2 linked regions of the Schizosaccharomyces pombe genome follow. Changing the gene in region 1 together with any one later gene gives a genetic interaction. Each region holds a gene or a part of one and is shown in the gene's direction. Other genes may lie near its edges.

Evidence for each region.
Region 2: mutations in SPOM_SPCC24B10.02C (region 1) and tbf1 together harm fitness less than expected from each alone (positive genetic interaction), as found in Schizosaccharomyces pombe (one large-scale study listed by BioGRID).

What each region holds. Positions count from the first base shown.
Region 1 is NC_003421.2:902,783-909,922, reverse strand, and holds SPOM_SPCC24B10.02C (NAD/NADH kinase), read left to right. Parts: upstream 1-4,836; 5' UTR 4,837-5,023; coding exon 5,024-6,373; 3' UTR 6,374-6,640; downstream 6,641-7,140. Other genes in the region: Tim9-Tim10 complex subunit Tim9, read right to left, coding at 458-634, 869-946; protein Mrpl50, read right to left, coding at 1,638-2,237; SPOM_SPCC24B10.03 (uncharacterized protein), read right to left, coding at 3,029-3,271, 3,459-3,602; mcm4 (MCM complex subunit Mcm4/Cdc21), read right to left, coding at 6,786-7,140.
Region 2 is NC_003423.3:2,361,479-2,379,726, forward strand, and holds tbf1 (DNA-binding factor Trf1), read left to right. Parts: upstream 1-12,446; 5' UTR 12,447-12,695; coding exon 12,696-14,153; 3' UTR 14,154-14,261; coding exon of another isoform or gene 14,262-14,969; 3' UTR 14,970-15,009; downstream 15,010-18,248. Other genes in the region: PPR repeat-containing protein Ppr3, read right to left, coding at 1-1,525, 1,608-1,862; arrestin-related substrate adaptor for RhoGEF, Art1, read right to left, coding at 2,801-4,252; SUMO deconjugating enzyme Ulp1, read left to right, coding at 5,639-7,345; pdc2 (topoisomerase II-associated deadenylation-dependent mRNA-decapping factor), read right to left, coding at 7,586-7,712, 7,768-7,938, 7,977-9,765, 9,873-9,973, 10,029-10,105; SPOM_SPBC19G7.18C (uncharacterized protein), read right to left, coding at 10,594-11,133, 11,180-11,250, 11,299-11,446; COG complex subunit Cog5, read right to left, coding at 14,262-14,969, 15,010-15,082, 15,132-15,586; nucleoporin Nup44, read left to right, coding at 16,557-16,572, 16,617-17,812. UniProt on the Schizosaccharomyces pombe protein: Binds the telomeric double-stranded TTACAGG repeat and regulates telomere length.

The sequences.
Region 1 (7,140 bases):
AATTGCAAAGCAGGAGTGTCTTTTAGCTAGTGCTTAAGATTTAAATAAAGAGGGAGATTTGAAAAAGAAAGAGACGTACTTTTTTACAAGTTTCATAAATCTATAGTCATCGATTACTGTAATGAGGATCCAAATAAATCATGATTTGTACTAGCCATTTAAAAACAAGAAGGGTCTATACATACAAGTCTTGTCTATAAACCTTAACGTCAATATTAATAAATGGTCCAAATTTGAAGAACAAAAATCATTTCATTTTAAGAATAAAAAAAGCCCAGACAACTTCACATCTCTGAAAGTGTACTGAACAAATAAACCATCTTTTAGATTTTTTAAGCAGGAGGTATAATGCACCCTTGTTAAACCACTGAAAACAGATAAGCATGTGTAGTTAGATGATGAAGGAGTTTCCAATTACACCGTACCTCGGATATGTGTTTGGCGTATCATGCATAATTTACTGACCCATGTATTTGGCATTGAACTCAGCAAATCTTTGACCGACACGTTCAGAGTGTTTTAAAAATTTGTCGGCACATTTTGCAATACATTCAGACTCTTTGTTGCTCAACTTGGAGCTGGTGAAATCTTGAACACAATCTGAGAAGCAATTTTGAGTCAAAGTAGAATACATCTATAATTCATGTTAATATCTAATCAATGAAAGCGAACATTTGGAAGAAAATGTGAAGGTTGGAGTTGAGAATGCTTCAAAAGACATCTTTATAATGGATATAAAAAACTTAAGGCAATCCAAGATTAAATTGAACAAATAAATAAAACGTTTGCTTACTAAGTTTTTTCATTCAACTATTTAAATAGCCTTCACAAAACTTAAAACCACACATTCTAAAATTCAAGTACATACGTTAAGATATTCCTTTAATTGCTTAGCTTCCAAAACTTGAGTAAGGTGCTCCTGTTCTTTAACGTTCAAACGATCCATTAAGGCTGTATTCTACTTGAAAACGTTGGATCAAAGAAGTGGTGGGTTACTGATTGAAGCAGCCAGTAAACCATAGTGTAAGTGAAGTAGAAGTGAACTTAAAGAGTTACCAATTCCAAAATGAAGGCTATATTTAATACTTTTATCTACTTTGTTTTAAAAAATTTTCAACTTTTGAGAATATATATACACTCTCTTGCCCTTACTTAAATTTGCTGAGCAAATTTCAAAGCTACCAGCTTATAGATTGAAAGCTTTATCAACAACAAATTGTTATTAAATTTTTACATTTATTCCATAGTAATTTACTGAATGAATTAATAATCACAGTTCAAATGTACCACAAAAGCACAGAGAAAGCATTACCATAACGAAATGTTGGTGCACCACTTTGTAACGGTTAAGCAATATTGAATTACTCATAAATACTATCAATTTTATGCGACCTGTTTCCGGCGGTACAATGGCTTGCTTGTATTAATCATGTGTAAACGAACAAGTTTTGTAACTTTAAATGTCAAAAAAACATCAGAACAAAATGTTTGAGAGTCGATGTTATATAAAAAACGAATGTAAAAGAAAGGATTATAAAAAACTTCACTCATCTTGCAAATAACCTTCATATACACAACAAATTGAAAAGGAGAGCAGGACCCATAACAATTGTCGTAAATAGAAGTTAAAAACAAAACTAAGCTACGCTTCGGCTTAACCTTCTTTTTTTTCTCTCCAAAGGATAACCATTTTCATCAACATGCAAAACTACATTGGGAAGCGACATCAAACCAGGTGTCGGCTTCCAAGCCAAACGTCCATGAAGTGTAGTGTCTCCATAATCTACTATTTTATCGTAGTAGTTATATAAATCATCCCAATTATGTATATTTTGGAGAGGGGCATCATACACGATCCTACCAGTTTTTTGATATGCTAGTTTTACTGCTTGTAAACGTGCTTCTGGAGACCAGGGTGTTTGAAGCTGAAGCGATTTCCTAATTTCGTTAATCATCTTAAGTGAATCCTCCCTGTTTAATGAGGGTTCTGCGAATTTTTCAAACAGCTGTATATCCTTCCACTTTGAAACTCTCTTTTTAGGAGGTATCACGACTTTCATGGCAGCCATATCTTTGTCAGCAATTTGCTTTTTTTCATCTTCCTTCGTTCCACGAAAACGATCGCGTATTCTACTTAACCAACTTTGGGAAACGGTAGTATTATGAAATGATCGGTGAGACACACAAGAATTGAGGTAAATTCGAATTGACGGGGTTGTAAAATTTCTAGAAAACATTATCAAAGGCTATTATGTATCATTTGAAAGTAAGAAAGAGAGGATTGCAATGAAATTTGAACAAATTGGGGGATTAGGAAAGGTTATAGAGAGGCAATTAACGAGTAGTAGGTGGGTTTGAAGTTGTGGTACTTTGCAGAATTTCATTGAAATTAAAAAGTACGTTCCTTTTGCTTTTGCTATAATTAATTATATTATCCTTACTATCACTTTTCACCTTTCTTTGATTTTATCGGGTTAGGACTGAATGCCCAAAACAGGCTAAATCTTGCGTTACAAATTTAAGAGCACCGAAAATATTATTACAAAAAGATATTGTATAGTATATTTACTTTTTAGTATGGTGTAATTTTGATGCTGCAAGAAATACAGACCATGTAAACGATCAATTGACATACTAGAATAAGACGAAGTAAAAAAATGAAATGCTTTCCCTATATATTTACGAACTTAAACTTGAGGGCTTATTATTAAAATAACAGCCTCACAAAAGATTCAAACGAGACTTAATTATATGAAAGCACGATCGTTTAGCAGACTTAATTAGGCAAACAAGCTAAGAAATCATCTTCGCATAAACAAAATTAAAAATATCAAGAAAAAACTGTAAAACCCGGCTTTTTGTGAATGTAATCATTTAATCAAAGAAAGATATTAAACTCAGCAAGTTGAGTAAACAGATGACATCGAGTTAAGCAATCTACTTACTTTTTAGAACTCGTAACATTAATTAAAATACGATGCACCATTCCAAACCCTTAAAAATCCTTAATTATCTCCACTGAAAATATTCAACCCAAGTCGTCCAAGACATCTTCTGCGTGCTGAACAAGTTCATTTACAATTGAAATAAAGTTATCCAAAACGTTGGAAGCAGAATTAAGGATAAATCCCTCTTCATCCGTCTTCGATTCTGACGACTTACCTTGTTCAGCAAAGCTGACTACCGGCTTAACGTTAAGAGAAAGTAATTGTGATTCCAACTGTTCGTTCATCAATCGTAAATTGTAATTAGAAATTTCAAGGTCTTCAATCTACAAAAATAATAAATGGGTTAGTATGTACTCCTTTTACATATTTATTCAATTTTCGATTTGCACAATCCTCATTCTTTTAAAGTATTAAAAATAGAGTGAAATAATAGTCAATTGATTAAAATTTACACAGATTATAATGAGTGTTCAAAATTAATAATTGTGCTTATGCTGTTTAGTACCATACATTTCGATTCATTCTAGCATCTAAATGTAACCAGCGTCCTTGCTCATTCGGTTGTGAATTTTTCCAATCCTTCATGAATATGGGTTTTTTAGGAGATTCATTCCCATTTTCTAGGTCTTTTTTGCCAAAATCATCAGCATCCATTTCAGGAGGGAGAGAAAAAAGAGAATTGAAGCGGTAGCGAAACGGATTCTTAAATCATCAATGCAATCGCAAACAAGCATAAGTAATTGGGGGTTTTTTTTAATTCTATTTTGTTATAATATTATTAAAAATGAATCATATACAAATTTTATTACGAAGAAATTTACATTATTTCATTTGATTAACTAGGATCTAATACATTAGGCATAACTTAAAACATTCCTCAAGTTAGGCTGTAAATTGAAGAATTGATTTGTCAATAAACATACTCAATGACCAAAATATATTAGCAAATACAAATGTAAATGAGTAATAAACAAGCTGCATAGCAAAATGTTCGGATGAAACCTCAAAACAGTTTTTTAAATTAAATTGTTATAGAATGGAGGCACCTATACTCTCTGAAATTAATCATTTAAGAGTAAGAACAGATAGAATAAGCTAGAAACGCATCATTTATAAAGTTTGAATATCTAAATTTAATGGGGCTAGCTTTTCATGCATTCCGCATCGCGAGTGATTTAAAAAAAATTTTCAAATAACAAAACATTCCTTGTACTTGGTAATTGACGAAAATGTTCATTCGCGTTCCGCCCAACACTGCTGGATATCAACGATATGTGAATTGCATATCTAATTTCAAGACTTCATCATCTTAACAAAATATCAATGTATGAGAGATTAGAGAAAAATAAGATTGAGATAAATGAAACAGAAAAATAAAAAGTCAATTGAATCTGCACTATTCCACCGCTTGATTGTTAGGAATTTGATATACCTTGTGCATTGAATGCTTGTAGAAAGGGCCATCTACTATCCTTTTACTAATCATTTTGATTGTAGCGTTGGAAAAATAGAGAATCTGCAGCCAAAACAGCCCTTGCTTAATTACTTGAGCAAAAACAGGTTCGCTCAATGTTAGAAAACGAAACGCTTTTAAGCACAATCATAATAAAACGAAGTAGAAAACGTCTATGTATAGTATTAGGTGATACTATTGTTAAAGAGAGTGGTTTATTTGTTTTAAAGCATCAAAAAATAAAAGTATTGAAAATTAAAAACTTATCACAAACGTTTACATCAAAATCATTCGTACATATACATTTCCATAAAGTATCATAATAATATTTATTGAGCCTTTATATTTATATAAAATCATCAAGTAAATTTCTTCATCAAAACTATGAAATTGGTGGTGAGGACATGCTGCTCATGTTACGTAAACTCAGCTCTTAGAATTTACCAAGATACCTACACATTCATATGTAGCAATATTTAATCTCTTTCCACTCGATTATACTTGTAGATACAATATTGTTGAACCTGGAAATTGGAGGGACTTGACTAATCCAAATTGGACTGTTTAGTAGCTGCAGCGAACATCGTAGGATAAGCTTGGTATTTCGTTTTAGAAAATCAGAATGGCTACCAAAGTTGAGGAAATAAACAAGCTGAAGAAAAAAAATCTTCATTTTCGACAATGCAGTGCTGACAGCTTGTCGAATTCCTCAATGCAGTTTGATTTGTCGGGCCTAAATACACCGGTTGGAGAATTGGCAACTTCTAACCTCCCTTCACCCGCTCATCCTCCCTTTGGTGAGCTTCATCAAGAATCTAGGACTTCTAATTCCTCTGCGATGCATATAGAGAATGTGGTTGCTTCCAGGCTTATGTATAATGAGGTTGCGAATGGCTCCTTTGCCTTGGAACCAAAGAATATACTAGTTGTAACGAAACCTCGAAAGCATTCGTTAGTTTACAAGACGGCAGAAATCACAAAATATATACTCACAATCGGAACACCGGAAACCAAGGTATATGTGGATATGAGACTAGCTCGTTCCAAGCGCTTCTCTGCTCATAACATCGCTAAAGAAGCAAATACCGACATTGACCGGATCAAGTATTGGAATCCGTATATTTGTTTGATTAAACCAAGTATTTTTGACTTAGCTATAACAATTGGCGACAACTCTACATTATTGTACACATCGTGGTTATTTCAAAAAATTGGGCCACCTGTTCTTTCCTTTTCCGATGATGATGTCCCTGGTTTTTTGACTCATTTTAGTTTATCTAACTATCAGCAGCATTTGTATCAGGTCTTAACTCAAAACGTGTCACTCAGGTTTTGTTCGCGGCTTCAGTGCTCTTTTCATAAATACGATGAAAAAACTAAGCAGTATTCTTTGGCTTCCACAACATACTCTCTTGATGAAATACTCATTAGTAGAGGAGAACATCCATTTATTAGTAACTTGAATGTTTACAACAATTCCGAACTTATGACTGTGGTTCAAGCTGATGGACTTGTTGTAGCTACTCCTACAGGATCCACCAACATCTCAGCGAATGCTGGTGGTTCTCTGGTACATCCTGCACTAAATGCGATTTTAGTAACACCAGTTTGTCCTCATACGCTTTCTTTCCGTCCTATTATTTTACCAGATTACAATGTTTTGAACGTTGAGATCCCTTTGGATTCTCGAAGTAGTGCATTCTTTTCCGTTGACCGTCATGAATCTGTGGAGATGCATAGAGGCGACTATTTATCAATTGTTACGTCTCATTACCCTTTCACAACCATTCAAAATCCAGGATACCAATGGACCAAGGTATTAGAAGATAAATTCAATTGGAATGTGCGTGAGCGTCAAAAGCCCTTTTCTAGAAAACCAAGCTTGAGTGATGTTAAGGATACAAGTGACGATAAATTTGATATTACAGATAATTCCTATTGCAGAGAATTTTCTGCAGACATTGATGGTTAAATTGCTATCCATTTTTCTTTTAATGACATCTGACTACTGTTGAAAATACTTAAAATTAGGCACACACTGCCTCTACGAATCATGGCGAATTATTGGTTACGATTGTTTAGATATCTGTTAGTTTTTTGAAAGTTTATGTTAATTATTATTATTATTATTATTTCAACTTTGGTATTAACGAATTTATATTCATAATGTTTACTCATTGTTCAGTTCATACTCAAAAGCCGAAAAAAAAAAGAAAAATGAATGTTAAGGATCCCTCGATAAATATGTAAAATATTTTTATAACAAAAAGAACGTGTGTATATATAACAAGAAAGACATTCGTATTATGCTCTGTAGTCTTTGATTTTCAACAACGACCTATGGTTTATGGCTCATGAATAATACCAGCTTATTCGCTAAAAAATTAATCAGTCTGTGCAATTGAACGTACAATGCGATGTCCAGCACTGGTAATAACCTTAATACGTCCTCGCCTTTCCAAAGCACCCAGACAAGCTTCGAAATCAGAAGCATCTAAGCGAGTAGAACTCTGCTCACGAAACCGAGTTAACAATTGACTGACCAACATAGTTTTTCCACCCACAGTTAAATTTGAAATTAAATTCGCCAGTTCTTTGACCATATCTTCAGGTACCAAAGTCTCTCTTTCATTAACATAAATTAGGTCAAGAGAAATCTTTCCTGTTGCAGGATCAGTTGCATAATCCTTAATAGCGGTCTTAATCAAGCGAGCAGCTTCAAGAACATCTCCTACCTCA
Region 2 (18,248 bases), on another chromosome or scaffold:
GCCAAGCAGCATACCCAAATTCAAAATCGTTAAACAATAATGCTAACTTTATAGCATATATATAAGTCAATGTAATCTTAGCAACTTTCATTGAGGAACCTTCCATTGTCGACATTTCTCGAAATTCTAATTGATAAATTTCCTTGAATAATTGCACGCTTCCACGCTCAAGAAAAATGTTTAAAAAATCAGTTACTAAGCGAGAGTTCAGAGCTTCAGGAAATTTCCTTTTCGCGTATTCAAAAGTATAAATAGCATTGAGGAACAAGTCATTCTCAGTTAAAGTTGATCTTTTAAGGAAAGGTATAAGTGGCTCTTTGGAACTATCTATAATTTTCCTGACCTCCTCTTTAAAGTGAGTGTAATCAGGGGTTACAGAAGAAGTTTGAACTTCAGCTGAAATTAAAGCCCGAAAAATGAAATGAAAAATTTGTTCAACTTTGAGTATCGAGGGCAGTAATTTTTGCCTCACCCAGAAATTATCCAAGATGTCTTTCATATAGTCAAGTTTACCACTATAAGCAATTAAACGTATTAACTCATAAAGTGTAGAATGATTTGGACGTAAACCATAATGCGAAAGATCCTGAAGCAATGAAAAAGCGACTGTTTGAAAACGAACATCGGTAGCTAAAGCATGAATTAAATTATTAATAACGAACGTTGTAGGGGTTAATGGATCAATTGGTCTTAATTTCATCTCATTGTATAAGTCAAGTGCCTTTTCTGGATTATACTGAGAAGAACATATTTGAATCATAAGACCGTATGTTTCAGCCGACGGAGAGATGCTAGTTGCTGTAAATTTCATAAAATTGAAAACTTCCCACGCCTTTGTAAATTCTTTGGTTCGAGAAAATGCCTTGATACAGGCATTTAAGAAATCCTTTGATGGGGTGATTGAGACTGATTTTTGTTCTGAATAGAGTGCAACTAAATCCTTGTGTTTACCAAGGGAAGAAAGTGCAATAGCATATGATTGATACACCAAACCATTCGGAGGAGCATTTGATTTTTGATACAAATGATACAATTGGACAGTCTTACGGAAATCGCCAGATGCGTTGGTGGATTCCATAAGCAAGACAAGCAAATCAGGCATAACTTTCATACCACTTTCTTCAACAGCTTTCCAAATTTCTAGGGAACTTTTTGAAATAACAGTTTGAGGAAGATAGTTAAAAAAGTTGACTATTTCTACAATATCAACCCCTAAAAAGCATTTAGGAATGTTTAAGAGATGGCGAAGATGACTGTTCCATTCTTCGGTAGAAACCTGACGATTTAACAACGTATTGTCATTAGCTAGATTTGAAACAATATGATCGACTGAATAATTATTGCTGGCTGTGTTCTTAGATTTCAATAGCCCGATTCTCGTAAGTAGAAGTGGTCCAATTTTCAATGGAGTTGTTCTCCTCAATTCGTGGTTACCTGTAGATAAATGATTTTCTTTTTCCTTATCATAAGAGTTAACTTCTGATATAAATTTAGTCCAAACTTCATCAGGAATGTTAAGGGGAGACTATGCTAACGTTAGTAAACAAGACAGTATCTTTTAGCAGTGTTATTTTGTACTCAAACCCTTTATTTAATAAATATTTTACCTTTTTGTTTATGTCATTTAGCTTAACATCCTTTAACTTTTGTTCGTATTCACGTATTTTCAGATCTAATTCTTTCTGTGCCAACTTCCAAGATGCCTCATTTGTTGAGCATCTAGCTTGTATATTATTGTTCAGGAGATTTTTAGCAATATTAATGTTATTAGGGTTATCTTTATGATAATGTAAACGTCGGCAAGGACCACAAAATCTTCTAACAGCTAAAAGTGTTAAAGAGCCAGAACATTTGTTTAGCATAAGGTACAGTAGCTTCTGAAATCTCAAAAATTAAAGATGTTTGATCTTTTTTCCTGATAAAGTAGTCAATAATATATAGATATTAATACCTGGATTGAAACGTATATTTTGTGGATGGAAAGTTAAGTGGGTATTAAACGCTTTGATAATGATCTCGTATTTTCATTCCTCAAAAGAAATTTAATTGCTAATATTTTAAACTTTTACTTCTGGTTATACTACTATAAGAATGGATTATACAAACTTAAGGAAGAGGTGTGGAAAAATTTTACTCACAATGAGCTTAATATCTAATAAAATTGTAACTGATTTAAGAGTGTAACCGTATACTGGGCTATTAGATAACAAAATGCAATCGTTATATATATTAAGCCTTACTCAGATTTAAATGCTTACTACATCTTTACTTTCAAAGCCACATACATGAAAGTGGAAACGCCGACATAAGTGCAGCCGATGTGATATTCAAACCACATAAAAAAGGAAAGTAGTACATTATATAAGCAGGTTTAAAGCTGTTTTTATTAAACTAAAACCTACTCTGAATAAAGTGAGATTTAAACTGTTGACACAATTTAAAATAAATAGTCAGTTGTACAAAAAAGCAACCAAATAGTGACCAAAAGTCCCACTTGCTAAATCTAGTGAATAAATAAAACAATGAAGACATATTCAATAGAAATTGATTTGATGTCGAAGAACAGGAATACTTTTTAAAACAAAACAAAAACAAGAAGACCATTATTTTTACTCATAGCTTTTGAAACCAAACAAAAAAACGAGGGACAAATAAATAAACAAAGTGGGTATTTAATTGCAAACCAAAGGCTTGCAAATATCGAAAAACACAGGGAAATACAGAGGTAAGGCTTATGATCAACAATATCGGGATTTACATTTGTAGTAAAGCACAGATTGAGCTTGAAAAATGTAACTTCCTAAGATAACAGGACAATGTCATCATTCAAATAAGCAAACATATTATTTTTGGAAAAATCTGAAGCTCGCACAATCCTAACGTTTTCTTCGAGGACAACGCCTCCGTGGCTTTGGCGAACGTCAAGGACTCGGGTTTGAATTTCATTAAGTAAGGCTTGACTTCGTGATCGTTCCACTGGGGAAACAATAATTGGGTTTGTTATTTCAATGTTTCTAGCACGATATAATTGTACTTTGATGACTAGCATGTATTGTACAGAGTAAAGATCAGAGGTGGTCGTGAATCCAGTGATATTTGCATCTTCAAAATCAATGTCGGGGAAAGGTTTAGAAAGGCTTTTCGATAAACCTTCCGATGTAAGTTTCATATCATCCAAATCTTCTTCGTAACGTAATACTTTCTTTTTACGAACTATTGGGCTTGAAGAAGAGGGATGTATGAACGTGATGTATTCAACCAAGGAAAGAGAAAGTTGCTGTACTCGTATTTTAGAACCATTATTAGGCATGATGGAAACGAAGACGGAGACGAGATCCGAAGGTCCAATACACAGTTTGGGTATTGATACCTCTACTACAACACGACCATCGCTACTCACTTGCCGAATATTAGTAGGGGAATTATACATCCCCCAAGAAGATAGATTATCATACCTGCTGAGTGACACTGGTACAGTGGTAGTAATATCCGGTACCCCTAGTAAACTCATGTGAGCACGTAGTTCATATTTCGTGGAGCATATTGTACCAGACCGATTCAATTCAAAAGTCGATGGAATTTCTGAATTTTCGGGAAACGGGATTTCAAAGGGAAGGTCCATTGACCATACCCTATGAGTAGCGTAAGGATCTGAAGAAGAAGAGAGTATAGGAGTTTGGTCACCAAAAGGAGTGATAGATGTGTCATTAGAGGAAGATGTGGTGGATACTGATCTAAACGGAGTGTAAGGAGGTTGATATACCGAAGATCCAGAGGCATTAGGAAGATGAGGTGGAGGGATAGGTGGAGTAGTACGGTTATGAGTATGAACAGAAGGATTATCCTGATCAGACGCATAAGAATCTACTATCCAATCGCTAGTAAGGGAGGGTGGAGGTGATTTGATAGACAAATCGCTGATAGAATAATTATTATCATTAGGAGGTATGTTATTTTCAGGATGCTCGGAATGAAGTGGAAACAAAACCTGCCTTGCCAGACACTTATTATCTGATAAGTGATTACTTATACCCAAGGATGGTATTACCACTGATTCAATTTTCCATAATTCTAACGTTATTTGAACCAAAGCCAAAGGTTGGTGAATTTCTTTACTTCGAACTTGGACGATACCAACCAACCTTGGAGCTGAAGTTGGTATCCCATTAAATCCAGCTTGGAAATCCAAATGTGGTAACGGACGTATCTCCAAAGGAGAAAATTGCCGTATTAGCGTACACGGGGATGTCATGCTCTTACATTTAGTGAGTTCCTCTGGCTTGGTGCTGGTTATGGGAAGTTGAATCTACCAAATGGTAGACAGGTTGGTTCAGTGCAGCAATGTCAGATCTAGATAGCTAAATAAAATCTTTTAAGCACTCGCTTAAACACTGCTAAGTGACTTTTTATAGCAATGAAATTAATAATATTTTATTATATAAAAATCTAATTTTAGGCCAAAAAATGTACTTTTGTTTCCATTCCATAGAATTAAAATCAAAAGCCTACAATTGATAGCCAAGCATCTAAAGCTAGTATCTGTTGTAAAAAAGTTCCATTTTGATTACAATAGTAAAAACTAAAATGACTTTAATAGCCTAATTTTGAAATTGGTATTTTCAACTTAAAATTCACTTACGAAAGCCTAAAATATGTTTATTCTTACAGCAGAAGGCTTTTTTTTTGAATTTTTGAATTTTTGAAACCATAACACACGATTGATCGCAACATACATATACGAAATATAGAAGAGAGACTGAATTCAAACGAAAACAATATAGCAAGATATCAGATTATTGAGCAGCAGAAGAAAGGGAAATAAAGCAAGTAAATACTATTTTACTAAAAATCAAACGAATCTCTAAAAGAACAGATATTTCACGCATAGTTAACAGACAATGCATAACAAAAAATTCAAAATCGAGAAAAACAAGAATCAAGAGCAACTGGTAATGCTAATTTTTGATAGTTATATGAGCCGTAGTATGATAAAAAACCCCGGCGATAATTGAGGAAATTCATTGCTGATGTACGACTCTTTTCTATCTAGGAAATAATGATTGTTTGAAGGATAACCTGAATATAGGGCTTTCTGTTCATTCAAAGATCCCTTCAGGAAGTGTTAAATGGTTTGTATAAAACTAACTCACATTTTCCGATTTATCTTTTCATTTTCAGGGCATATATCAGAACTTAAAACAATTTACTAGTAGCGATACGCTACCACTTACTTATTAAACGCTTAAAAGAGTAACACAGTGTACTGTCATGAATGTATATTTTATAAAAGCAATATGATATTTAATTTACATTAATATACTTGTAAGCTTCTCACGGCTAAAAGTAGTGATAGCCCACATTGAAGTAGGATTTTAGTGTAATGAAATCAAACACAGTAGGCCCTAAAGATAAACGGACACTTACATGTTAAGCAACATAATTTAAAATCTTACAAGCAAAGCTAGCGGCTCGAAAGCCAAACATTGTAATATAAACACAAAAAGTAGTTTGTTTACAGTAAATACCGCAATACTCGTATAACGAGGTATTTTCACAACGTAAGCAAGAACGCGCTCATCCTTCCAGGTTGTTGTGTGTCACAGCCTCTCGCGATTCACCCTTTACAATTCACTCGTGAATGATAGGAAAACGCAATGCGTCAAAAAGGACGCGTCAGGATGATTGTATTACATATGAAGAGTATCAAAGGAAACGTAAAAAGACATTTTTGAACACGTTTGTTAATATTTGTTCTCGTACAGTTACTTATGCAAAACTTTTTTTGACAAAAACTCCCATTTCTGAATTGGATCGCATCGCTGGCGAGGCGATACCATCTAATAGTAATAGTACAAATTCAAAACTAGAGCCTTCTACTAAAGCCCCTGAATCTCGGTTTTCTCACATAAATTCCAAGACTGAACGTGGTTACGTGACGGTCGAATCTGATATGTCTTCTCACAATACTCTTGACAGAAATAGTAAACCTACCGTTTCTCATTCATATACAAATTCTAGTAAGGATGAAAAATTTTTGGATCCCATTGCTCTTCAAAATCTATTTTCCCCTGCCTCTGACACGCATTCTCAAAACATCCATGACGAAGCATTATCTCCATCAAGCTTTCGTGTGTCTCGTTCGAGATACTTCCCCCGACCTCATCGGTCTTCCAAAAATTTATCTGTTAGTAATCGGTTACAGCTTGCGGTTTTTAAGGAAACAACTTCATCGACATTATCCCACGGTAATTCCGTTGAGGCTGACGAAATAAACTCTTTTAATCCTACACCTTTCTCTTCTTCTCCTCTGCACTTTACGAACTCCTCTCCAAATCCAAACTCTGACATTGTTACACCGGACAAGCAGCTAGATGTTGTTAGCGAACACGCCAGATATAAACACCTTCCTTTTACGGCTACGTTAAGAAAGAAAAGTCCTCATGATTCAACGTCTCGGAAAGCCTCTTTTAGGTTCGTTCAATCTGATCAGCAACCAGCGCGGAATATCGTTACTTCTGATATCCAAAATGAAAAATCATTACTGTTGCTAATTCGAGATTTGAAAGAAAAGCAAACAGAATCTTTTCAAGATTGGAACGAAGTTGACTTTTTACAATTAAAAGGTTTGGAAATATCTCCACCCCCCACTCGCCCCAAGTTCATTCCGGAACTTGAGTTTCCTGATAATGCTCGAAAGCGTGCACTGAAATATTTAAACCAAAGCAATTCTGTTTCCTCTTCTGAACCCATCATCACCAAATTTAATATTCCAATCACGCTTAAAGACTTGCATACTCTGCGGAATAGACAATGGTTAAATGACGAGGTAATTAATTTTTACATGAATTTGATTTCGGAACGCTCTAAAATTGATTCATCCTTACCTCGGGTACATGGGTTTAATACTTTTTTTTATACATCTTTGCAGCGCCGTGGATACGCGGGTGTTCGAAGATGGGCCAAAAAGGCACGCGTTAATATTGCAGATATGGATGCTGTATTTATACCAGTACATCTGGATGTCCACTGGTGTATGGCTGTTATTAACAAATCGAAGAAACGATTTGAATACTGGGACTCGCTGGCCGGAAGCCCTGGTAAAGTTTTTGATTTGTTGCGCGACTATTATATTGCAGAAACAAAAGGTGCCGTCGACGTGTCAGATTGGGAAAATTTTATGGATGACAATTCTCCAAGACAACGAAATGGACATGATTGTGGAGTTTTTGCTTGTAAAACTGCTGAATGTGTATCTAGAAATGTTCCTGTTCAGTTTAGTCAAAATGATATGCCTGAACTACGAATCAAAATGGCAGCTAGTATTATTGATGCACAAATCTATTAAATATGTGCTATAAACTTTTTGTCTATATACTTATCGTTTTTTATATTAATTTCTTTCTCGTTCAATACATTTTATTTCATATTCAGCGTTTTCAAAAAGGACATAATTTACTTAAATCTATATTAGAGCGTATGCATTTTTTAAGTAGCAGGGAATACTCTAATTAATAAATCTGAATCCAGGAATCTCAGCAAATATAGCTTTTGAAAAAAAAAATACCCGCATATCTTATAAACAAACTTAAGCGCTGAGCTGACGAGCGTCGAGCCCCATTGCATTTAAAAACAAATTAACATTGCTGATGCGCACAACAGCAATTTCAGAAGGTGCCCGTTTGCTAGTAATGATGTTATCAAGTACTCTGTCCCTATTTTTTACATATTTGTTAGTACAAAAACTCGACTAGACATATTTTAACGTACCTAGTTTCAGAAACCAATGTAAAATGTTGTTCAGAGCTAGCAGCAGTAGCACAAGCTGCTAAGAATTCCCATGGATAAGATTCATCAGCATAAGCTCGAGCGTTAGGTGGTGGGAATACCGTCGAGAAATGACCTTTTACGCGATTAAACATAACATTGAATGTATTTTCCCTAAATAGTTAGATGCTGTAAATACATGTATAACGTACCATTCTTCTTTTTCATTTTGATTTACAGTGCCAGATTGCTTTAAAATTTCTGCGCGACTAATGAATAGAGTAAGGAACGACAAACCAATCTTCGTCTGTATTAAATAAACAGCATTAGTGCGATTGAGAAGTTGAGAAAATAAGTTATTTATAGTTTCCAAATCAAGTTCATTAACAATAGTGAGCAATGGAGGGATGATGAACTGCGTGAAAGAACTCATTTCGGAAACAACGTCCAAAGGCAGCTCACCGTTAACGTCAAATGTTCCCCTAAGGACTATATCAAGAGAATCAAAATTGTAAACTACGACCTTTAAAATCGAAATTTGTTGCTCTTTGGACAAATGTGGGAACAAGCGAGGTAGCAGCCTCATTCCTTTGGGGTGAGAAATTATAGAAATGAATGGAGGCCTAGTCTTAGAAGATGCTTCCAATGATTCATTTATGTATAATGCCTTCCAAATGGACTCCAATTTCTCGCTTAAAGTAGTTTTCCATGTATCTATTTGCTCCTGATCGGTAGTTTCTAGCGTTGAGGCTTTACGGAGGGCTTGCTCAAAGTCAAGCAACAAGTCATAAACTTTCTCAATAGCGTGCAATACATCCTTCTTCGTAGAAAATCCAGAAAAATTGTTTAATGATGAATTTGAAGATGCTGGTTCGGTAGGACGTTTAACATTCAACAATTGTCGTGGTGTGCGAACAGTATTAACAGCAATTTTACCAAGAGCACCTTCTAAAGACAACTGAGTTGCCTTAGGGCGCTCTTTGGCAGAAGAAACCAAACGCTGAAGTTGCTGTTGTAATTTCTGCATAGGATTTTCGGAGCGACGACCACGACGGCGATTATTGCTAGGTCCTAGATAAGTCTGTATAAAATGACTGGCTTCTTCCTCGGAAGGCTTGCGGCCTCGAATAATTGAGTAAACGCGATAATAAAAATCATCAGATTCGGGATCCTCCGACATCAATTGCGATATTTGAATTCTCGCAATAAACGATTTATCACTGCGTGTCATTAACCCAGCACATTGAGCCATGAGCATATGATCACGCTCTAACTTTTGACGTTTTTCATCAAGGTTCTGGTTTTGAATTAATTGTTCCTGCTGGAAAAGATTAACAAGGGAAGCAGGAGGAGCAACACTTGGGTTGTACATGCCGTTTTGAGGATATGGCATTTGAGGTACAAGGGAAGGTTGCATAACAGGATTGGGTATAGCTTGCGAAGGATGTACCATATTAGGAGCAGCTAATCCAGCAAAATCAGTTGTAGTGCTAGGGATGTTTGGTTGACCAAAAGTAACATTACCAATACTAGCCGCACTAATCGCCGGGTCCAATGAAGAGATGTTTTCTCGAGTTACTTGAGCAGCCATTTCGGATGGAACAATGGGAATAGCGGGTTGAGAAGGTGGTTTTGGAGCGGTCATTGAGTTCAATAACTGTTCCTCCAACTCCTGCAAGCTAAAAACCTTCTCAGATGGTTGGGCACCCAAACGATCTTGAAGAGAGGCTACCTCAGGTGGAATAATAGCCGGCTTTTCTGGAACAATATTTTCCCAAATCGAAGCCATAGGCTGCAAATCGGAAAGCTTATTGATCGCAGTAGACGCAGGTTCCCGTGAAGGAAATTGTGAAGCACCATTAAGTCTACTAACTTGAGGTAACTCTGAAGAAGCTGGTTTGACAGGTTTAGCGAAAATATTTTGTTGATTAATTTGGTACTGCTCATCTTCCAATTGTGCAGATGCTTGAGCGGTAGTACCTGAAAAATCAAAATCACGTCCTAGAATTGTGAGAAAAAATATTAAAATATTAAATACTAATAGCTTGCAATATCCCAGATATGACAGCCGAGAATGATTACAGAATCACAAGCACAAAGGTACATACCTATACTTCCAGCGCTAACACCAAAAGTCTCGTCGTTTAGTTCATCTCCGGCTTCATTTAATTGATTACCCAAATCGTCGTAGGTCTCCTCAAAGTCAATGCTAAATATACTTGTGAGCTTAAAGTATCATATTTACATTAATATTAACGACTTACCCATCCTCTTCTAACTGCCCTTCGTTAGGAAACATATTTTCCTTTGGAAGGGTAGTATTAAACCCAAAAAATGACATTTTATGGGTTTATGGTAATGAGAAGTTGGTGGTAGCTAGGTGGGCGGCACTGCATACAACAATACTCATGACAGTAGATTGGGTTGGTTCGACGCAGACTGATTCATGGCGTTTTATATATATTTTTACTTTGCGTTCTTTTTTTATATCTGAATTTTAAAGTTGTTATTTGGTTTGCTATACCAGTAAATCTATCCCTATTTTATTTCACATCAATCTTCAAGACTAGCTATTAAAACCTATCACGTATAGATGTATATCATAAATATGAATTTAAATTTATCTCTTTTTGAAAGACTGAAATGTATCGAAATTTATGCATGAACATACATAAGTTGCTTGCTCAAGCAAGCTACATCAATCTGGCAATGCAGTATAGAAAAAAAGAAATATCTACTAAATTTAACTACTTTACATCATAAATTCAGTGACACTCAAATTGGTAAAAATTAATTTTAAATTATCGTAACATGTAGAGATAAAGGAAATTATTTGGAAGACGATGAATCATTCCAGATCAATTGATCAAATGCCTCCTGTTCGTGAGAAATAGGTTCATCCAACTGTTCAGAGCCTAGATTAGAAGTTCGGGAAGGAAATGCTTCAGAATTTTCTTGTCCACTAAAAGCACTATCTGTGGATTTAACACTCGAGTCTTCTTCGTAAAATGGAAAAGAATTGTTACCGGTATTTCGATTACGGTTACGAATAGCTTCCCATGCTGACGCTGGCTTTGATCGATCTTCAAAGCCATTGTCTTTAGAGTACATGGCGTCCTCTTTCTCCGTACTCTGTGAATTCGTAAAGGGATCTTGACTAGAAGAGGCACCAGTATTCGGCATACTTCCAGGTAATTGATATTTTGAGTTTTTTGGAGGGAATTCAGAAGATGAAGAAGGAAATCTGCCTTGTCGCATCGTTGTTCTTTGTCGAATAAGGGAGTCTTGTATTTTGCGAAGTATTTCAAAGCCATCATCTCTTTGACGTATAGCCGACAAATTGTATGCCAGAGTAGTAATCTGAGCAACCTATTCATAATTTGTAAGCTTGAGCTTAGTATTACTTAAAACTTACCCCATTTCCAGCAAGACCTCCTATAATTGATGTTGCATACAAGCGGATTGGAGTAACCTTTTTGTTACGAGCTAAAAAATAAGAAAGTTATTTTCAATTGCTTGTTCGAAATCTCATACCTAAGTATAATGGGAGAGAAAACCCGACTAGCATCCCAAAAATCGTATTTCTTTTGACACGGTATTTTGCATGATTTAGAAATTCCTTTTGGTCATCACTGAAATGGTTTTGAGGATCATTTAACATTCGTTCCCAAAAAAAATCCATGATAATAAACGTTGGAAGCGATTCCTGAGGCTACACAATAATGTCAAGAATATGAAACGTGCTTATACGGGTTATGTTAGCGAAATAAATGTAATTAAATTATTTGCGGACTGTACAATTTAACCCAATATATAAAAATTTGAGGCCTTTCTAATGTAAAAATACTACTACTAAAAGGTAATAGTACTCATCACTTGTTGCCTTATGGATAGTTTGGATACTGATGTAAGAGGATGTGAATAAGGAGAATCTCTAGGGATTAGGACCATCTAAATTTCCCAGCTACTACAGTGATACTTGGCATGAATAAGAAATACGTATCTGAATAAAAATTTGACACACAAGATTGTTCTGTTGAAATTTCTTATGAAACTGATAGACTGAATTTTTTTTGGCTGGTAAGCACTTGTGATGAAATATGCAACTTTTTCGAACTACGTTTTACATTCCATCTTTCAATGAAACAGACCTTGGTGGCATCAATTCGTGGTATACGATTGTTTTGAATTTTAATATTGCAAGCATATATGTTCAACAGGAATTTCCCAGTTGTTAAATAAGTCTATATCGTATAATTCTTTGTCATTAACCGTATTTATTCATTTTGAACTAATTTAGCACAGAATTCTATCTCGTAAATTAAACAAGCGCCACTGCATTTTACACAGCTAACGAAAAATACAAGAAGGCAATTGAGAAATAGAGAAATAGATGCAATACAGACTTGGTCTTTTTTTTTAAAAAGTTTTGCCAATTTAGACGGATTTTGTATCTAATATGTAGGAACTACTAGTAGTAGTTACAGCTTATTCATTAGTTAATAATGTCCAGATATCGCTTCTACAAAGGAATGAAATGTTGATAAAATTAGTAAAGAAATACAACGATATAATGGTATTTAACACATCTGGCTTATTGGAATTCGTTAATAAAAATAACGAACGCCAATGAAGTGAAATATGCAAGAGATTTTTTATTACGAGTCAATTAAATATACGCTGTCCTAATCAATTGACACACAAATACCTGAAAACTCGCATTTGGTTGTTACTTTGCCTGCATTGGAAGGATATATTTTAAAAAACCTTGTAGTAAAGAAGAATTGGAACTTTTGATGCAAGATTTACTATTCGGTAGTCACTGGATATCGTTGCTCCTTGGATTTGTTTAGCAATCGATTAATCAGACTGCTTCTCACCTATAGTTTGTATTTTCTTTGATCAATTGAAAAACTACGATTTCCAAGAAAATGTCAAAACGATCCTTAGACCCTAGTGATGATTTTAAGGGTCAAAAACGCTTAGCGATTGATCCAGAATCAACTGCCCTCGAACAAGATCGCCAAATGTTACAACAATTATCAGAACAAAATTCTGAACTCGAGCCTCAAAATGTTGCACCAAATGCAGAAATTCCTTTAGGGTTTGATCTTTCCGGAATTCAATTTAATATGACGCCGGACTTTTATTTACGCATGAATCAAGGCATGGATTACGCTTTCAACCAACCTAATCCTATTGCTACACCTCAGCAACTTCTTCGTACATCTCTTATTCCTACTCTTGGTAACCTTAGTAACATAATTTTGTCAATTCTTGGGAAGCCAGTACAAGAGGCATCTGCCATTGTCACTAATCCAGCCTCCGAAATGGGTATGGCCTTTACCAAAGTAATGAATATGTTTCGTATGGTAAAGGACATTTATACTGAAGAATCTTTTATTTATTCCTCTGCCATTGGTATGAGGACGCCGAGTCAAAGAAGTACGACTAGACGCGCAAATCTTGCTATCTTTCTGGCAGCTGTCTATGGAGCGCTACAAATTGGATTTTTTCATTTGAATGAAAATTTTCTGGAGGTTTTTGCTCCGGACGAATCTAATATCCTCACTAATCAGGGCACTCTTTATATGGAACTCAAAACCCAAGCATATATTTCGGCTATGGCTCAGGCAGAACGTCCCAAGGGAGACATATTAAACGATCTTTTTCCCTCTGACATGGCCCATCGATTTCTTATCCGACGAAATGCTAAGCTGGATGACAAACTTACTTATGTTGAAAAGCAAATCATAGAGAAATGTACGGCTAGAAAAGAAAGATTGGCAAACTTCTCCCCACAGGAAGCTTTAAATGAAGTATATCCATGGGGGAAATTTTTAAGCGAGATTGCTTGTTACATCCATAACAATTACTCGTCTATTTCGGCCATTCCAATTCCTGCTAACTCATTCAAACGACGATCCAAGAAGAACGGATTGAGGTTTAAGGCTGGCGAAGCCGAATCATCCCCTTCAGAATCTGGTTCAGACCTGACCGATAGTCTCGCATTTGGTATACCATCTTCAACTTTTGACGGCTCCTCGGAAACACAAAATGTATCCAGTGTCGTTCTTTATGATCAGGTTCGACATATGACAAATAATAACCTAAATAACAAGCGTACGAGGCGCGTAGCCAATCGTCGATCTTGGACAAAAGAGGAAGAGGAAGCATTGCTTGATGGTCTTGATTTAGTAAAAGGTCCCCGGTGGAGCCAAATTTTGGAGCTTTATGGTCCTGGAGGCAAAAAGAGTGAAGTTTTGAAATATCGCAATCAAGTTCAGTTGAAAGATAAGGCTCGCAATATGAAACTATTTTTTCTCAAAAGTGGTCAGGTGGTCCCCGCAGCATTACAATGTGTTACAGGCGATCTTCGGCGAGATTAAGTAGTATCAGGAGTTTATTTCATTCTTGATTAAGTTTGCGATTTTTTTTTAAATACTAAAACGATTAAGCGTGAGGCATTTTATGTATAAATTATAATTATTATTAATCTATGGGTTTTTTGGTGCTAATACTCGGAGGCTATTCATTACAATTGAACATTCCCGTGTATCTTTATTTACAATTTCGGAGGATGACCTGGCAATAGCTTGTTCCACAATATGCGTAACTCGCTGAAAATCGCTTCGGAATACCCGCAAGAGTATTGGATCACGGCGATCAAGCATTTGCATTTTGCTGCTGATAGAAATTGCCAGCTCTTTGAAAAAATAGATACAAATAGTTGCACCATCAAGGATAAAATTTGGTTGCATTTGAAAATATTCTAATAAATTTGGGTAGTCTGGATTACAAATATTAGCCTTTTGAAGTGACCTTTCCCAAAAGACGCATTGTGCACCAATCTTTGAAATTTGGTACCACCCGTCTTCAAATTTGGACCATATAGTAGAATTTGCCGCTGAAGGATCTGTACTGTTATGTAGGAGTCTTCGTGTAGTGGGGGACAGTTGGAAAATCGAGTCGAATTGTATAATGGCCTTCTGTATACGAGAACTTAAAAGACGAGTTAAGTCCTGTTCTAACAAATATTTGTCTAACATATATAAAACAGAGCAAGCATTTGTAAAACCATTAGAGTTCACACTGAAAGAAAGTTGATCTTCTTGTGATAATAGATAGCTGGATGTTTCTTTTATAATTCTCGATCGATTGGTTATATTAAGTTTTAAGAGTAAAGAAACGGACGATTGTCTTTTCTACAATAATTAGCCAAGAAACAGAAAATATATTTCATACCATTAATGGAAACCGGCTTAATAATTGATCAGACTCTTGTAATAGTAAAGATGCTTGATAATAGCGTGAAAGTCTTGAATTTGTTAGCATACCAAAATCATTGAGCAAAACAATAAGCATACTTTTCATTTTCATTAATCGATCCCTGGAAAAGGGGAAATAACTTTGCTTGTATGCCAAAAAACTCCCCAAGCCAATACAAAGTCATGTATGTTGAATGCAAATTTACAATTGCCTCATGAAGGGGACCCAAATTTTCAGATGGAATGACTACCAGCGAACGAATTCTTTCATAAACCAACATCAATTGTTCTAGTTTTCCCTCGATATCTTGCAAATATGACTGAGCATTCAAAGAACTAGATACATTTTTCGTCAACGTGGTTTCCTCATGCACAATCAAATCGGTAATTTGCCGCTCTACTTCTTTGAGTGCATACCCCAACCTCTTTCTGGCGACTTCTTTGTCTTCGTTAACATCGGAGTCAGCATGAACAGAGATTAACACTCGTTCAGCCTGCGCCTTTGGATCGAAATCTGATTTTTTGTAATCTGAAAAATCATATCGAAACTCCATAACAGGAATTTTAAGCGCTTTAAACGAAATTTTTACAAGCTATTTCATAGATTTTAATGATACTTAACTTTAGTTTATTTGACGATCAATCGTAAAACGCAGAATCGATACCAAATCTTACAACGAATGTTTTGAACAAGTAAAATCCGCAATTGAACAGTGTATTCTAGCACTTCTATTCGAAACACGATAACACTACAACTTTATCCTGCAAGTATACGCTTACTTCGTCTGGTGCAACTAATGTAGTATATGAGAGCGTATACCTTAGACACTTTGACCGACTATTGTAAGTAACATGCTACTCATTCATATTCTAAAGAACAAAGAAAGAGATTTTCAAATAGAAGATTGAAAAACTTATCAATTTGAACGTTGAATTTTATCGAACCACGAAGGCTTTTAAAATTCCAACTGAAATCCGCGGCTCTAAGAGTTAGTATGGTTTCAACATACTCCTCAAGTAAACATTCGTCAGGCAGTTACAGTTTTCAAACAAAGTGACTAAAAATGCAGTAAATGTATATATAAACTACTAAAATGTAATACGAATTCATATCTTTGCTCTCAAATAAAGCAAATTTAAATTTATTGGAGTTAACGAAGAGATTAACTTACAAATTGCTATAGGAAATTGACTAAGAATATACTTGAAAAATATGCTGTAGTTTGTCTAAAAAAAATTTTACTGTGGGTATTTAATTCAAAATTTGAAGTTTCAATAAATCTCGAGAATAACAGTAATAATTTGAATTCCAAAGGAAAGAGTAAATTGAATAAAGTAGTACGCAATATATCTCAAAATTGCTATAGGGTAGCTTTCCTGAAAATAGGGCATCATTTAACGAACTTAACCGCAGACTGACTTTATTGTGAAGCTATAGCTATCACTCACTCTAGATTTTGCAACCCATCAAATAGACAGAATTTAAGAGCCAAGCTTCCCTTGTAAAAGAATTGCAAAATCGCTATGGCATTTTCTTTTGGTATGCTTTGAGATTCATCAGTTATAAGTTGCTAACGACTGTAGGTCAACAAGGGTCGTCAATAAAGGCACCTTCCATTGGCTCAACTGGCGTTTTTGGCCAGTCGAATACCACAAAACCAACTGCACCTTTCGGTTCTGGATCTATTTTTGGGTCCACAAACACTAATGTAGGTGCAGGAGGCCCTACTGGTTCTTCGTCAGCTCCACCGTTTGGAAATTCAATTTTCGGTAAAACACAACAACAGCCGACCACTTCTTTCTCCAATACTACCACCAATGCCCCACAAAGTACTGTATTTGGCCAAAACGCTGCATCAAGAACCGGCAACTCAAATACGCAACCATTATTTTCGTGGAGTACAGTCAACAATCCCACAAAACCAGTAGACGAAACCAATGCTACGATCCCTAGCAGCTTATTGCTGTCTTCAGGTATATCCCCAAATGCGACCGTGAGCAATGCTCAATATGGCCCTGCTCAACCTCCGTCCGTGGAGGAGCAAGTGCAGAAAATCTTGAATGCATGGAATCTCAACCATCCTGATTGTGCTTTTCAGCGGTTCTTTTATAACAAGGTTCCTGTTGAGCAAGCTGCACTATATGTTAAGCCTCCAAATTATAACCAACAAAAATGGGACGAAGCTGTTGCTAATCGACCAAGCAACAGTGTTGTTCCCGTTTTGGCCGTAGGATTCCCCGATGTACAAAAAAGAATTAATATGCAGATTCAACAAGTGAACACGTACCGTATTCGGATGCGTGAAATTGTTGAAACTTTAGGAAGATTAAGTAACAAACACGACCTTGATTTTAGCATCAAACTTGCCGAGGCGAAAAATCGTCACGTCCGTCTGTCTGAAAGAATTTTACGACTTGCAATTAAAGTACATGTTTTACGACATCGTGGTTATGCACTAAAACCTAATGAAGAAGAGCTACGTAAAAAATTAGATGATTTAACAAAATCGCTAAATAATCCTGAAATTTTTGGTCGGCTCAACGAAATATGGGCAAGAATTACTCTTATTTTTGAAGGAGAAAAGATATCTGAAGATCAGCGAAGTAATTTGGCTAAGGGAGTAGTGGATTGGCGAAAAAATTCTGATCAACTAGAAGTCATTACGGACGTCTTAAGGGATCATCAAGTTGGTCTTTCATATGTGGTAAAACTGATGCAAGAAGATTTAGCGACGTTGAACAAGCAATTAACTGAGCACGTTCCTCAATCACAAAAATAGCGGTAATTCCTACTTCACGTTATTTTCTGTATTTAATTAAATTAGAAACGACCAACATGAAAATCATAGTTAGGTTCCTTTTTTTATTTTTCTGGTAACCGAATTTTTTTTAAGAAATTCATCTAATTGGGAGTCAATTGATTGACAAGTGGTCCAAAAGATATTACTGACTTAAAATTACATATAACGGCGCAGCATCGCACAGGAAATCTATGAACTCTCTATACACATTTAGCTACCAGTTCAATCCATGAACGATTTCTATAATAACCATTTTTTAGTGACTTTACATTCAAAATCAAATAATTCAACCCACTCATGTAAAATTTACGACTCGATCAAGAACGGTAAAAATAAATTGTCTGATTATTTACATACAGTCGATCATAAAATTGTATTCGACGTACAATAACCATCCATTTTTATAGCACAAAAG